Linked DNA regions of Schizosaccharomyces pombe. The gene in region 2 interacts genetically with the main gene of each other region. Each region holds a gene or a part of one and is shown on either strand. Other genes may lie near its edges. The genes, in order: nda3, cnp1 and mis18.

Region 1 (3,755 bases), 430 kb from region 2:
AGCTGCAGAGAGCAAACGCAAGCAAAAAAGAGCTGATAAAAAAAATCCGCAATGGAAAAGCAGAATTCCTAAAGATCCAGGTATTCCTAACTCATTCCCCTACAAGGATAAAATTCTTGCTGAGATCGAAGAACAGAAGCGCATTAGAGAAGAAGAAAAATTGGCTCGTCGTGCTTCAGGACAAGTTGATGCTGCAATGGAAGAGGAAGACGCTGTTGATGAAAATGGATCCCTAATGATTTCAAAGATAGCTGAGGCTGCACAAGCGTCTAACCCAGATGATGAGGAAGAGTTTGTGATGGAAGAAGACAACCTTGGAGAGGCCCCTTTATTAGTTGACTCCGAGTCTTATGAGGCATCAGTGAAGGCAGATACCTCTAGAAAGGCATATGATAAGGAGTTCAAAAAAGTTGTTGAAGCGTCAGATGTGATTCTTTACGTTCTTGACGCTCGTGATCCTGAAGGGACTCGTTCAAAAGACGTTGAACGTCAAGTTTTAGCATCTTCTGCTGAAGAAAAGCGTCTTATTTTCGTTATCAACAAAATTGACTTAGTACCATCAGAAGTACTCAACAAGTGGGTTACCTATCTCCGCAATTTCTTTCCTACGATTCCTATGCGTTCCGCTTCAGGATCTGGAAACTCAAATTTAAAGCACCAGTCGGCTTCTGCTAGTTCCACTATCTCCAATCTTCTTAAATCACTCAAGTCTTACTCAGCCAAGAAGAAGCTTAAAAGCTCTCTTACAGTCGGTGTAATTGGATACCCCAACGTTGGTAAATCATCTGTTATTAACGCTCTTGTCAACCGTTCTGCGAATGGTCGTTCTGCACCTTGTCCTGCCGGAAACGTTGCCGGAATGACTACTTCTTTGCGAGAGGTGAAGCTAGATAACAAATTACGTTTGGTCGATAGTCCTGGTATTGTTTTTCCTTCTAGTGATTCTAAAGACGATTTGTATCGTCTTGTAATGCTTAATGCTGTTTCATCCACCAAAGTTGATGATCCCGTTGCCGTTGCTTCTTACATTTTGCAATTCCTTAGCAGAGTTCCAGGACAATTGGAAAGAATGTTTCAAAGATATGAGCTTCCTCCTCTATTGAATACATCCGATATAGACACTGCTACTGATTTTTTAGTCAATATTGCTCGTAAGCGTGGTCGTCTAGGTCGCGGTGGAATTCCAAATCTTAACGCTGCTGCCAATATTGTCATTAATGACTGGCATGCTGGTCGTATCGAATGGTGGGCCGAGCCTGAGGTTATAAACGAAAAGAACTCATCTGAAGTTCAGGATACTCAAATCGTTACTGAGTGGGCCAAAGAATTTGACCTTAATGATTTTTGAGAGTTTTCAACTTACGAAAAAAGCTATTGTTGCTTAGAGCTTATATTTTGGGATTTGGTTTTCGGTTGCGGTTTTTCTTCGGGTTTTAAAAATCTTTAGGTGTTGATGGTTACTAGCTATTACTTTTTGAATTAATATATAAATAATTTTTTTTGCATATATGCCGTATTCTTGAATGTGTTGTTTTACATTTACTTGTAAAAGTAATGTTTGATATGGGAGAAGTTTTAAGTAATAGGTTCGCTAATACGGGAAATTATTAAATCAATGCATGCTGGCTTAAATAAAGTCAATTGAATATGTACGGAAAATGACATTGATACTAACGTGCAGTTATAAGTTTCATTTCATTTTTATATCAATTGATAGGATAAACACAAACAATTCTAACCATACTATTTTGCGCTACTACTGAATATGGCATAATATCAAATTAATCTGTTTAGCAGTTAATAATTATGTATATAAACTAAAGAATAAATAAAGTTACATACATTACCAAAGAAAAGAAAAAAAGCTTGTATATAAAAGAAGTAAACTATTTAATAAGCAATGATTTAAGACTTGATTCTTTTCAATTAACAATCGGCTAATAAATACACAAAAATTTTTTTTAAAAGCCTACTAGTAAATAACTGCAATAAACTGTGTTTTTAGAATTTCTGAAACGTATAAAAACGATTTGGTACTTTTGGTATTCTCAATCCGTTCCTCCTAACGAAACTCACCTACCACCAAACTGATCATCAAAACAAACCACCATAAATTAGTCTAGATGCGTGAGATTGTACGAGCTATTTTAATATTCAAAGCTAATCAATAGGTTCATATTCAAGCTGGTCAATGCGGAAACCAAGTCGGTGCGGCCTTTTGGTAAGCAAAATCTACTTTGTTATAACGTTTCTCTCAACTAACGCTTGGAAGGTCTACCATTGCTGATGAGCATGGTTTGGATTCAGCTGGAATGTAGGTCTATTTTGCTTGTTTTTTTACTGACTTTTACGTAGATATCATGGAACTTCTGAGGCACAACACGAGCGATTGAACGTTTATTTTAACGAGGTAGGTTTTTTTGCTTTCTTACAAGTGTTCGGTTGCTTAAAACTTTTTGAAAAAATTTTTTTTTGTTTATTTAGTACTGACGACTGTAGGCCGCTGGTGGAAAGTATGTTCCCCGCGCAGTCCTTGTTGATTTAGAGCCCGGTACTATGGATGCCGTGAAGTCAGGAAAGTTTGGAAATCTTTTCCGCCCGGACAATATTATTTATGGACAATCTGGTGCCGGAAATATTTGGGCTAAAGGCCATTACACTGAAGGTGCTGAATTGGCCGATGCTGTTTTGGACGTTGTTCGCCGTGAAGCTGAAGCATGTGATGCTTTACAAGGTTTCCAATTAACTCACTCTTTGGGTGGTGGTACTGGATCTGGTATGGGTACTCTTTTACTTTCGAAGATTCGCGAGGAATATCCGGACCGTATGATGGCTACCTTCTCCGTTGCTCCTGCTCCTAAAAGCTCTGATACCGTTGTGGAACCTTACAATGCTACTCTTTCTATGCATCAATTGGTAGAGAACTCTGACGAAACATTTTGCATTGATAATGAGGCTCTTTCTTCAATTTTCGCTAACACGTTGAAAATCAAGAGTCCTTCATACGATGACTTGAACCATCTTGTCTCTGCTGTAATGGCTGGTGTAACCACATCTTTCCGATTCCCTGGTGAATTGAACTCTGACTTGCGTAAATTAGCTGTTAATATGGTTCCCTTCCCTCGTTTACACTTTTTCATGGTAGGATTTGCTCCTCTTGCCGCCATCGGTTCAAGCTCATTTCAAGCTGTTTCTGTGCCCGAGCTTACTCAACAAATGTTTGATGCTAATAATATGATGGTCGCCGCTGATCCTCGCCATGGCCGTTACTTAACAGTTGCCGCTCTTTTCCGTGGTAAAGTCTCAATGAAAGAAGTCGACGAGCAAATTCGCTCTGTTCAAACTAAGAATTCAGCATATTTCGTTGAGTGGATTCCCGATAATGGTATGTTTACTTGGTTTAAAACGTCGTTTGTATATTTAGTTTATTTTTTCTACTTGTTTATGCTCATCTGCTAACCTCGAAATAGTCCTCAAAGCTGTTTGTTCCGTTCCTCCTAAGGATCTCAAGATGTCTGCAACTTTTATTGGTAACAGTACTTCTATCCAAGAAATTTTCCGTCGTTTGGGTGATCAGTTTTCTGCAATGTTTAGAAGAAAAGCCTTTTTGCATTGGTATACTGGTGAAGGCATGGACGAAATGGAGTTTACTGAGGCTGAATCTAATATGAATGACTTGGTTAGCGAATATCAACAATACCAGGAGGCTGGTATCGATGAGGGTGATGAAGATTATGAAATTGAAGAAGAGAAGG
Region 2 (3,755 bases):
AAGAAAATTAAGACTTTTTTAAATTATTGAACGAAAAACTTTAGACTAAACAGAAGAGGTGTCAATTGGAAAGCAGGCAAAACACTACTCGAGTGAGAGTAAAGGTGAAAATAAAAAAAAAAAAAAAAATTCTTCTGTGCATGTAATGTAATACAGTATCTATTGCATTATGCCAAACAAATATTATTGGGGCAGTGTGACAATAGAATATTACATTAAAGAGTTTTAAACTTATGCAATAAGTGCGCAATTTTGTTCATCGATATTCCAACATCGTGAATTTTCTGCTAATTTAGAAGTTTCTGTTTTCTTCTTTTTTGTAACAGTAACCTTTGAGAAAAGCAATAATACAAAATCCCCTTATAACTTTTTAATGTATTAAGCAAGTTTCACGCTAATCAACCAGACCGCCTATTATCATTCCAAAGGACAAGGTTGTTTATTTTAGTCAAGTTTGTCTATTTATTAGCAGTAACACGTTTAGGTGAACATAGATGCTGTGCGCAGCACGAAAGTGTTTGAACAAAACATTTATTTCAGTAAGACTAAATGCATTTTCTTGTCTGGCAGAACTAAATTTTCGGCATACATGGTATTGCTCTAAAAAAGAAACACCTTATCAACTAGAAAGACTCCAAGAAGAAGATATTGAGGAAACATTTATATGTGGAAAGGGCCCTGGTGGACAAAAAATAAATAAAACTAGCATAGTGGCCCAAGTCAAACATATTCCGACGGGAATTATCGTTCGATCTCAAGACACACGTTCACGTGAACAAAATCGTTGTATTGCAAGGAAACGGTTAACGGAGAAAGTAGATGAATTCAAACACGGGAACGATAGTCTTTTAGCAAGAAAAGTTCAACGTATTGTCAAGAAGAAAAAACAGCGAGAGAAAAAAAGTAAAAGGAAGTATGGAAATAAGATTGATGACCAGGATTCCAGCCTGAATAATAATGAAGCGAAACAAGACGTGATCTAATTTGCGTTGCTTCGGTACTCACATGGCATTAACTAGGAGTGAGATTTATCATTCATTATGAGCATATTCGTACATTTTTTTTAATAATTCTTTGGTAGATAGCATGCTTAGAGTCTTATAATGAGTAGCTAAAGATCTGTCTCAAAATCACCTGATATCAATTAAACTGATCATACCTTAGCAATTCCAATTTCAATATGATTAAGCGTAAAACTATTTTTTTTTGTTGAATATATAGTGTCAAGCACCACGAATCCTCCTGGCTAATTGCATGTCTCGTTGCATAATCGTCACTCGTTTAGCATGAATAGCACATAAATTCGTATCTTCAAATAGATGAACCAAGAACGCTTCAGCCGCTTCCTGAAGACATTGCAGTGCCGTAGATTGCCAGCGCAAACCAACATCCGTTGAAAAATTGGCTACAAATTCTGAAGATATCTCTCGTACAATTCTTGAAAACGGGAGCCTTTGTATTAATAAGTCTGTAGACCTTTGATATTTTCGAATCTCTCTTAACGCCGTAGTACCTGGACGATATCTCTTTTTACGTGGCCGTGGAATAGGATCTCCAGGCTCAGCCATTAAAGATTTCTTTGCCATATTAAGTTGTTCCTATCAATTTCTTTTGGGAATAAAGGTTTTTAAACAGTAATTGTTGGAACAAATGCAAGAGCTCGATACAATGAGTTTTGGTTTTGACAGGGGTTTGACGCGTCGCGACTAGCATAGACTCTAAATTATTTAGCTCACTATTTAAAAATGTAAACAATCAAACAGAAGTTCTTTGTCAGAAAATACTAAAGCTACTGTTTTACAAGAAAATCATTAAAATACATGAAAATATTAGGCTCTTGTTCGTTCCACATCATCAGCTAAAAAGAACAAGTATTAATAATAGCTTACGAATATATGATTTCTCACTATTTATAGGTAAGAGAAATTAATCATATAAACCCAAGCGAAACTCAAGACCGATTTTTTTTTAATTGAATAAACATATGTGCTCTCTTTATATCTCGGTTATAATTGATCCAAAAGCCTTAAAAATTTATCGTACTCTTTTACAAAGAATTACATAACGCAGTTTACCGTGGAAAAACAAATTAAAAATTTGACCTATGGTAAAATCAGACTGCAACAAGCATTAACTATTTATTAATTAATTTAATGAAGGATTTTTATAAGAAACATAATTAAATTGTTAAGTTAAAAATAATTTTTTTGACTTTTGCATTCCATTATAAAAACGGAAAGTTGTTTGTTCTCTGTTTTGCAATTCCTTTAATAGCTCAAGTGTTTTAAACATAAACGGTCGAGATGAGTACAAAGTCAAAGGACCAACATGCAAGGGTATCATATTTATACCAGGCTTCGCAATTACTTTTTAGAAACGTTCAAGAACCTACATTGTCGAGACACTATATCTCTACAGCCAAGGATGTTTCACAAAAATCAGTAATGCGAATACACCCAGATATAAAGCGCACCATATGTAAAGGATGTAACTCTTTATTGGTACCAGGAAAGTCATGTTCAATAAGATTTGAGGAACCATCACGGAAAAATCCATCTATCGATCGTGTATTGTGGATATGCAAAAAATGTGCGTTTAAAAAAAGGTTTTCGGACAAAAGTTGTTAAAACATGTTTAGCATTACTTTTGGAATGAAAGATTATTTGTATTCTATAAAGCCGGAGCAACTTTTGTTTGGTATTTTGGTTCTTTAATTTCGCGAGATTGCGATTCAAGTAAAGAAAGATTCCCCATTTCCCGCTTACTCCTTTTTCTTTTGAAATTTTAAAGGGTTTTTGTTGTACATAGACCAAGCAGGAAGACACACCTATTTTTAAATGAATGTTAATATTACATGACTAGAAGCAAAAAAACTAGCTTACAAGAGCCACCAACGATGCTAAAATTAAAAACAATTTAATCACACAATAAGAATCTTGAACTAAATACCCATAAATGTACGAAATAACCTATAGATATATTAGTAAATAAATGAGATTTTATCCCTGACATACAGCACTTGTACATAGACCATAGTTCATATACTTTTGACACCTTAATTGTCCTGCAAAATCGATCGTACCTTCAAGATAGTTCATGGTATGCTTGCTCTTTCTCAAAACAGTAAAGTTGCTTTTTGTATTATGTGGTTACAACGAATGAATCTCGTTATCGTTCGGTTTACCATAATAACGTGTTGTAATCCAATAGCACGTTGTACATTGATGAATATGAAACAAAAAACAAGCAAAAAAAGAGGCATGAAAATATATAGGCAAATCGGTTGCTCCTTCATTTTCAATAGATGTAAATCAACACCTCAATGTCAAATTCGATTTGAAAATGAAAAAGCGGCTCATTGATGACCTATTAACATTATATAGAAATGATCTTTACAATTAACAGGTTAAGGTACTTCAGCGTTCATAAACGATTAATAATTAATAAAGATTCACCAACAAGGGCTTAATTTAAATGTATGTGACTTAAATCGTATATTAATTGCTTAGGTGGTTTTTTTTTTCATTTGGTGAAATTATCTTTTATTAGATGTGCGATTATCATAAATTTTGCTAGTACTTCATTGCTAAAAGAGGTCAAGTCTCCACTAACGGTATAAAACAAGCATTACACGTATACCTTAAGCAATTTGGGTCGTGCCAAAAGCAATTAGTAATGTGTAGCTGTTAAAGTTATTAGGTTCCATAAAATTAAGAGCTTATTGCTTCAAAGATTTGTCCTTTCCGATTTTAAAA
Region 3 (3,532 bases), on a different chromosome or scaffold from region 2:
AAGTCCCTAAAGCCATTGTTGTTAATAAATTATACTTTTAAGCTCAACGTACATTCCAAGCAGCCCCGGCTTCCCACCAGTAGGCTGGAGGAAGGAACATCCCGATAGTTCCTCCTTTGTGCTGACCAGCATAATAATTCAATAATCCATCAGCTACTAAAGAAGTGGCTAAGTCAACGGAGGACGTGTCATTCAAATCCACCGAAATGGCTTCAGCGAAGGAAAACAAAATAGTTGCAAGTGAAATAAAGATTGTAAGACTCATTGAAAAAGAAGGATTAAATAGAGTAGTATCTTTGAAGATTCCCATATGTATCCAGATGACTGTCGCCCTTCATATGATTCAATGATGACTCATTAATGACTGATAGAAATAATCTAAACAGTAAACAACGAACGACCAAAGGTAGGGAAAAAATATAACTTAACGCAATCTATCTTCTATAAAATTCTTAAGCCTTTCAATGAAAATACTCTCACATTTATTCGTGAGACCGACAGCCCCATGCATATCACAATGAGCAAGAAGGAAAACCTTAGAAAAAATACATCAAAAAGGTATTATTTAAATTGTGTCTTTTTGTTTTAACCGCAATTTTAACTGTTTGAATATAACAGTTTGTACATGGTATCCCAGTACTTTCTAGCGGTGGACTTATTTCCTCGTTCGTTTAGAGTATGTTCTTGCCTTTTCTTTTTTACCTTCCTTTCCCTCAATTTTCGGTTTTTTTAAACTGGATATTGTCTCCTTAACTGAGCGTAAAGTTTCATCGTGAAGTTCGAACTTTTCATATAGAGAGAGACAAAAGGACTTCAACTACAAATAAAATTAGTAATTTATTCTTCTTAAAGTTTATTTTTCTCTACTATATAAAGAATCACTGTACATGCCTTTATAATGTCCTCTCTCATTTCTAAATCAACTTGATACCGTGTAAGGCCTTCAGGATTTACGGTCTTATTACCTAGTTGGTAGCTTCACTGGGGTTAGTAACTAAGATGAAATCATGAACTTACGCTTGTAATTTGTCCATTGAAAAAGTATACATATCTCTACATGATTTTGTTAAAATTTGGTCAACCAAGTACGACTAGACATACCTAATATCATCAAGATATATAGGTGTAGAATTATACACCTTCCCAATCACTTCATTGCATCTAGTACAACTCAACTCTGAATAGACGCTATAATTTTTGTATTAGTAAACTGGCGAGCAACACATGCAACATACCAAAGACCATCATCACTCCTTTTAAACGTATCCTCAACGCGTACACTATTTTCTACTGCATCTAAATGAAATAATTAATTACATGGACATTTCTTTTACCACATACCACTCAAAGTGAAACTAAGATATTCTCGATGAGAAATAACCCAAGCATTAGAATCACCAACTATTTGAAAACATTTTTTACATTGGAAGACGCTAGGTTGTGACTCTTTTTTAAAATCAATATAGCCCGAATGACTAGTTTCCGTCTGGGACATACTTATGGAAAGTTCATTTTATCTAGTAGTAGTCGTTATTAATTAGGTGCGCTTAACATTCTATATATGGTGAACCAATATATATCAGATGTAGAAGCAAAAATTAAATATATTACAAAATTATAAAAAAATAAATTACTCATAGTCCTTTAACTGTTTTCGGAAGAAGGAATAAAGACGCCTTCCTGCTTCGGGGCCAATTAGTTCTGACCATTTTCTTTCTGAGGTTTCGGAAGCTTCTTGAATATCTTTCACGCCTCCATAAAACACATTTCTGTAGTTTTTCATAGTTATGTATGGGAGTCCCATTAGCAGGTCGAGTGGAGCTTGATTATAAGTATTCGTTGAGTCTTGCCCAGCTTCCAAACCTATAGAGGCAGCTGAAGCAGGATCTGGTTCTTGTTCCATGGCTTTCAAATCTTGAAAAATAATTGATGTAACGTAGGCACTAGAAGACCAAACAATCCTTAAGTTGGGAAACGATAATGTTAACAGTACCAGTTTAGATTGAACATCATTTTTTCCAATTTCGCTTGAAAGGTCGGAGAAAGGCTAAAAGCTGTCAGACATAGATTGTTTTAGTCAGACTTACTGGAGATGTAAAAGATTGGTGTTGTTCGAATTCAATTAACAAAACTGGAATTTCATAATATTCAGTCATAGCTTCACATTGGGAATAAAGACGGCCATTGCTTAATGATTGGATCAAATCTCTAATTGACTTCCTTTCAACACAGATCTTTGGTGATAATATATAATCTCCCACTAAGAGTTGGCAAGGGATAACAGAAAAATTATTTCCATGTAATATGGAAGGTAACGAACTACGGAATTCCCTCAAGTCAACGATAACCTTTAACGTTTTAATACATATAAACATAAGATATAATGAACGTACCCTAGGTTTCTCATTTGTGATCGATAACTGTCCTCCTCCAGCTATACGAGTATTGACATTTCTTAAAAACTTTGACTCTTGGCTTTCGAACCTTTCGGAATCAGCCGTCAGTACGATAGCCATATTCTTTTTAGATTAGCAAGTTTTGAAAAGTTTAGAATAACTTACAGATCGTTCTTTAATAAGACGAGAGAATGAATCTTTCTCTCTCCTTACAGAAAAAAGATATTTTTGCTCCTCAATCGATCCTCCATAGTACATAAAATAAACCCTTAGAGATCTTTTGGGATATGTAGCTTTGTAAACCTCGACTCTTCGAATAAAATTGGGATCAGAATCGAACATAATAACGTACCGAGGTCTTAAATTATTTAATACTAACTCATCTCTTTCACCATTGTAGGAATAGATATAGATGGAATTGAAATCATCAATAACTTCAAATGCATCATTGCCCACTTCAGGTTCATAACGTTTGGATAAGTGTGAGAGCAGACTAGACTTATTAGCGTGTAAAACCTAATAATTAGCGTACATTTTCTCTAGGCGTAAATCCCTACTAAAAGAATCATTCGCATCTGTATTATCAGAAGTTGTGCGTGAAGTGGCATTGTTTCCACCTCTTACCCTTCTTCTCTTTGAAGGTGGAACACCTTTTCTAGACGTTGTATTAGAAGCCTCTCGCTCCTTGGAAGGCTCTGGTTTCTTGATTGATTTACTCATCTTTCTATATTGTTCTCTCCATTGAAAATAGTCCACTAATTTGCTATTCATATTTTTCAAAGAGTCTTTATTGTCGTAAGTCACCGTACTCAAATAATCACGTAACTGTAAACAAGTACGCTCATCTGCGCACATAATCATTATCGAATTATTGGATGTTTCTGAAAGATTTGTTAATATTTCTTCCTTTAAAGAGAGTTTTTTTTATACCTGCATCTGTATCTGCTAACATTGTTTCATGACACACTTCGTTTAATACGTCTTGCAAGACAGACCATTTCGGCTGTTCCTCCAAAATGGGAATCGCATCCATATTCGGTCCTTCTGATTCTTTGTATACTCGGTCTCTAGCGACACGGATCATTTTATTGGCGGCATCCAACATAAGCCAAGGAGAAGGTTGTGCATTAGATGGG

The links.
Region 1: mutations in cnp1 (region 2) and nda3 impair growth when combined (synthetic growth defect), as found in Schizosaccharomyces pombe (one study listed by BioGRID).
Region 3: of cnp1 (region 2) and mis18, extra expression of one rescues a mutant of the other (dosage rescue), as found in Schizosaccharomyces pombe (one study listed by BioGRID).

Annotation. Positions count from the first base shown.
Region 1 is NC_003423.3:3,964,293-3,968,047, reverse strand, and holds the start of nda3 (tubulin beta Nda3), read left to right. Parts: upstream 1-2,074; 5' UTR 2,075-2,123; coding exon 2,124-2,135; intron 2,136-2,171; coding exon 2,172-2,221; intron 2,222-2,272; coding exon 2,273-2,314; intron 2,315-2,355; coding exon 2,356-2,410; intron 2,411-2,499; coding exon 2,500-3,385; intron 3,386-3,470; coding exon 3,471-3,755. Other genes in the region: GTPase Grn1, read left to right, coding at 1-1,348. UniProt on the Schizosaccharomyces pombe protein: Tubulin is the major constituent of microtubules, a cylinder consisting of laterally associated linear protofilaments composed of alpha- and beta-tubulin heterodimers.
Region 2 is NC_003423.3:3,536,432-3,540,186, reverse strand, and holds cnp1 (centromere-specific histone H3 CENP-A), read right to left. Parts: upstream 1,684-3,755; 5' UTR 1,587-1,683; coding exon 1,224-1,586; 3' UTR 984-1,223; coding exon of another isoform or gene 495-983; 3' UTR 24-494; downstream 1-23. Other genes in the region: pth3 (peptide release factor), read left to right, coding at 495-983; RNase P subunit Rpr2, read left to right, coding at 2,304-2,627; signal peptidase complex subunit Spc1, read right to left, coding at 2,762-2,827, 2,883-2,969, 3,015-3,098. UniProt on the Schizosaccharomyces pombe protein: Histone H3-like nucleosomal protein that is specifically found in centromeric nucleosomes. Replaces conventional H3 in the nucleosome core of centromeric chromatin that serves as an assembly site for the inner kinetochore.
Region 3 is NC_003421.2:513,276-516,807, forward strand, and holds mis18 (kinetochore protein Mis18), read right to left. Parts: upstream 1,533-3,532; 5' UTR 1,496-1,532; coding exon 1,342-1,495; exon of another isoform or gene 1,297-1,341; coding exon 1,236-1,296; exon of another isoform or gene 1,189-1,235; coding exon 1,102-1,188; exon of another isoform or gene 1,054-1,101; coding exon 1,018-1,053; exon of another isoform or gene 977-1,017; coding exon 892-976; exon of another isoform or gene 836-891; intron 818-835; coding exon 656-817; downstream 1-655. Other genes in the region: dcw1 (mannan endo-1,6-alpha-mannosidase), read right to left, coding at 1-6, 53-265; rad16 (DNA repair endonuclease XPF), read right to left, coding at 1,631-2,047, 2,088-2,348, 2,394-2,519, 2,562-2,889, 2,929-3,277, 3,327-3,532. UniProt on the Schizosaccharomyces pombe protein: Component of the CENP-A recruiting complex that ensures the integrity of mitotic spindles through maintenance of kinetochore factors mis6/CENP-I and cnp1/CENP-A. Maintains the deacetylated state of histones specifically in the central core of the centromeres.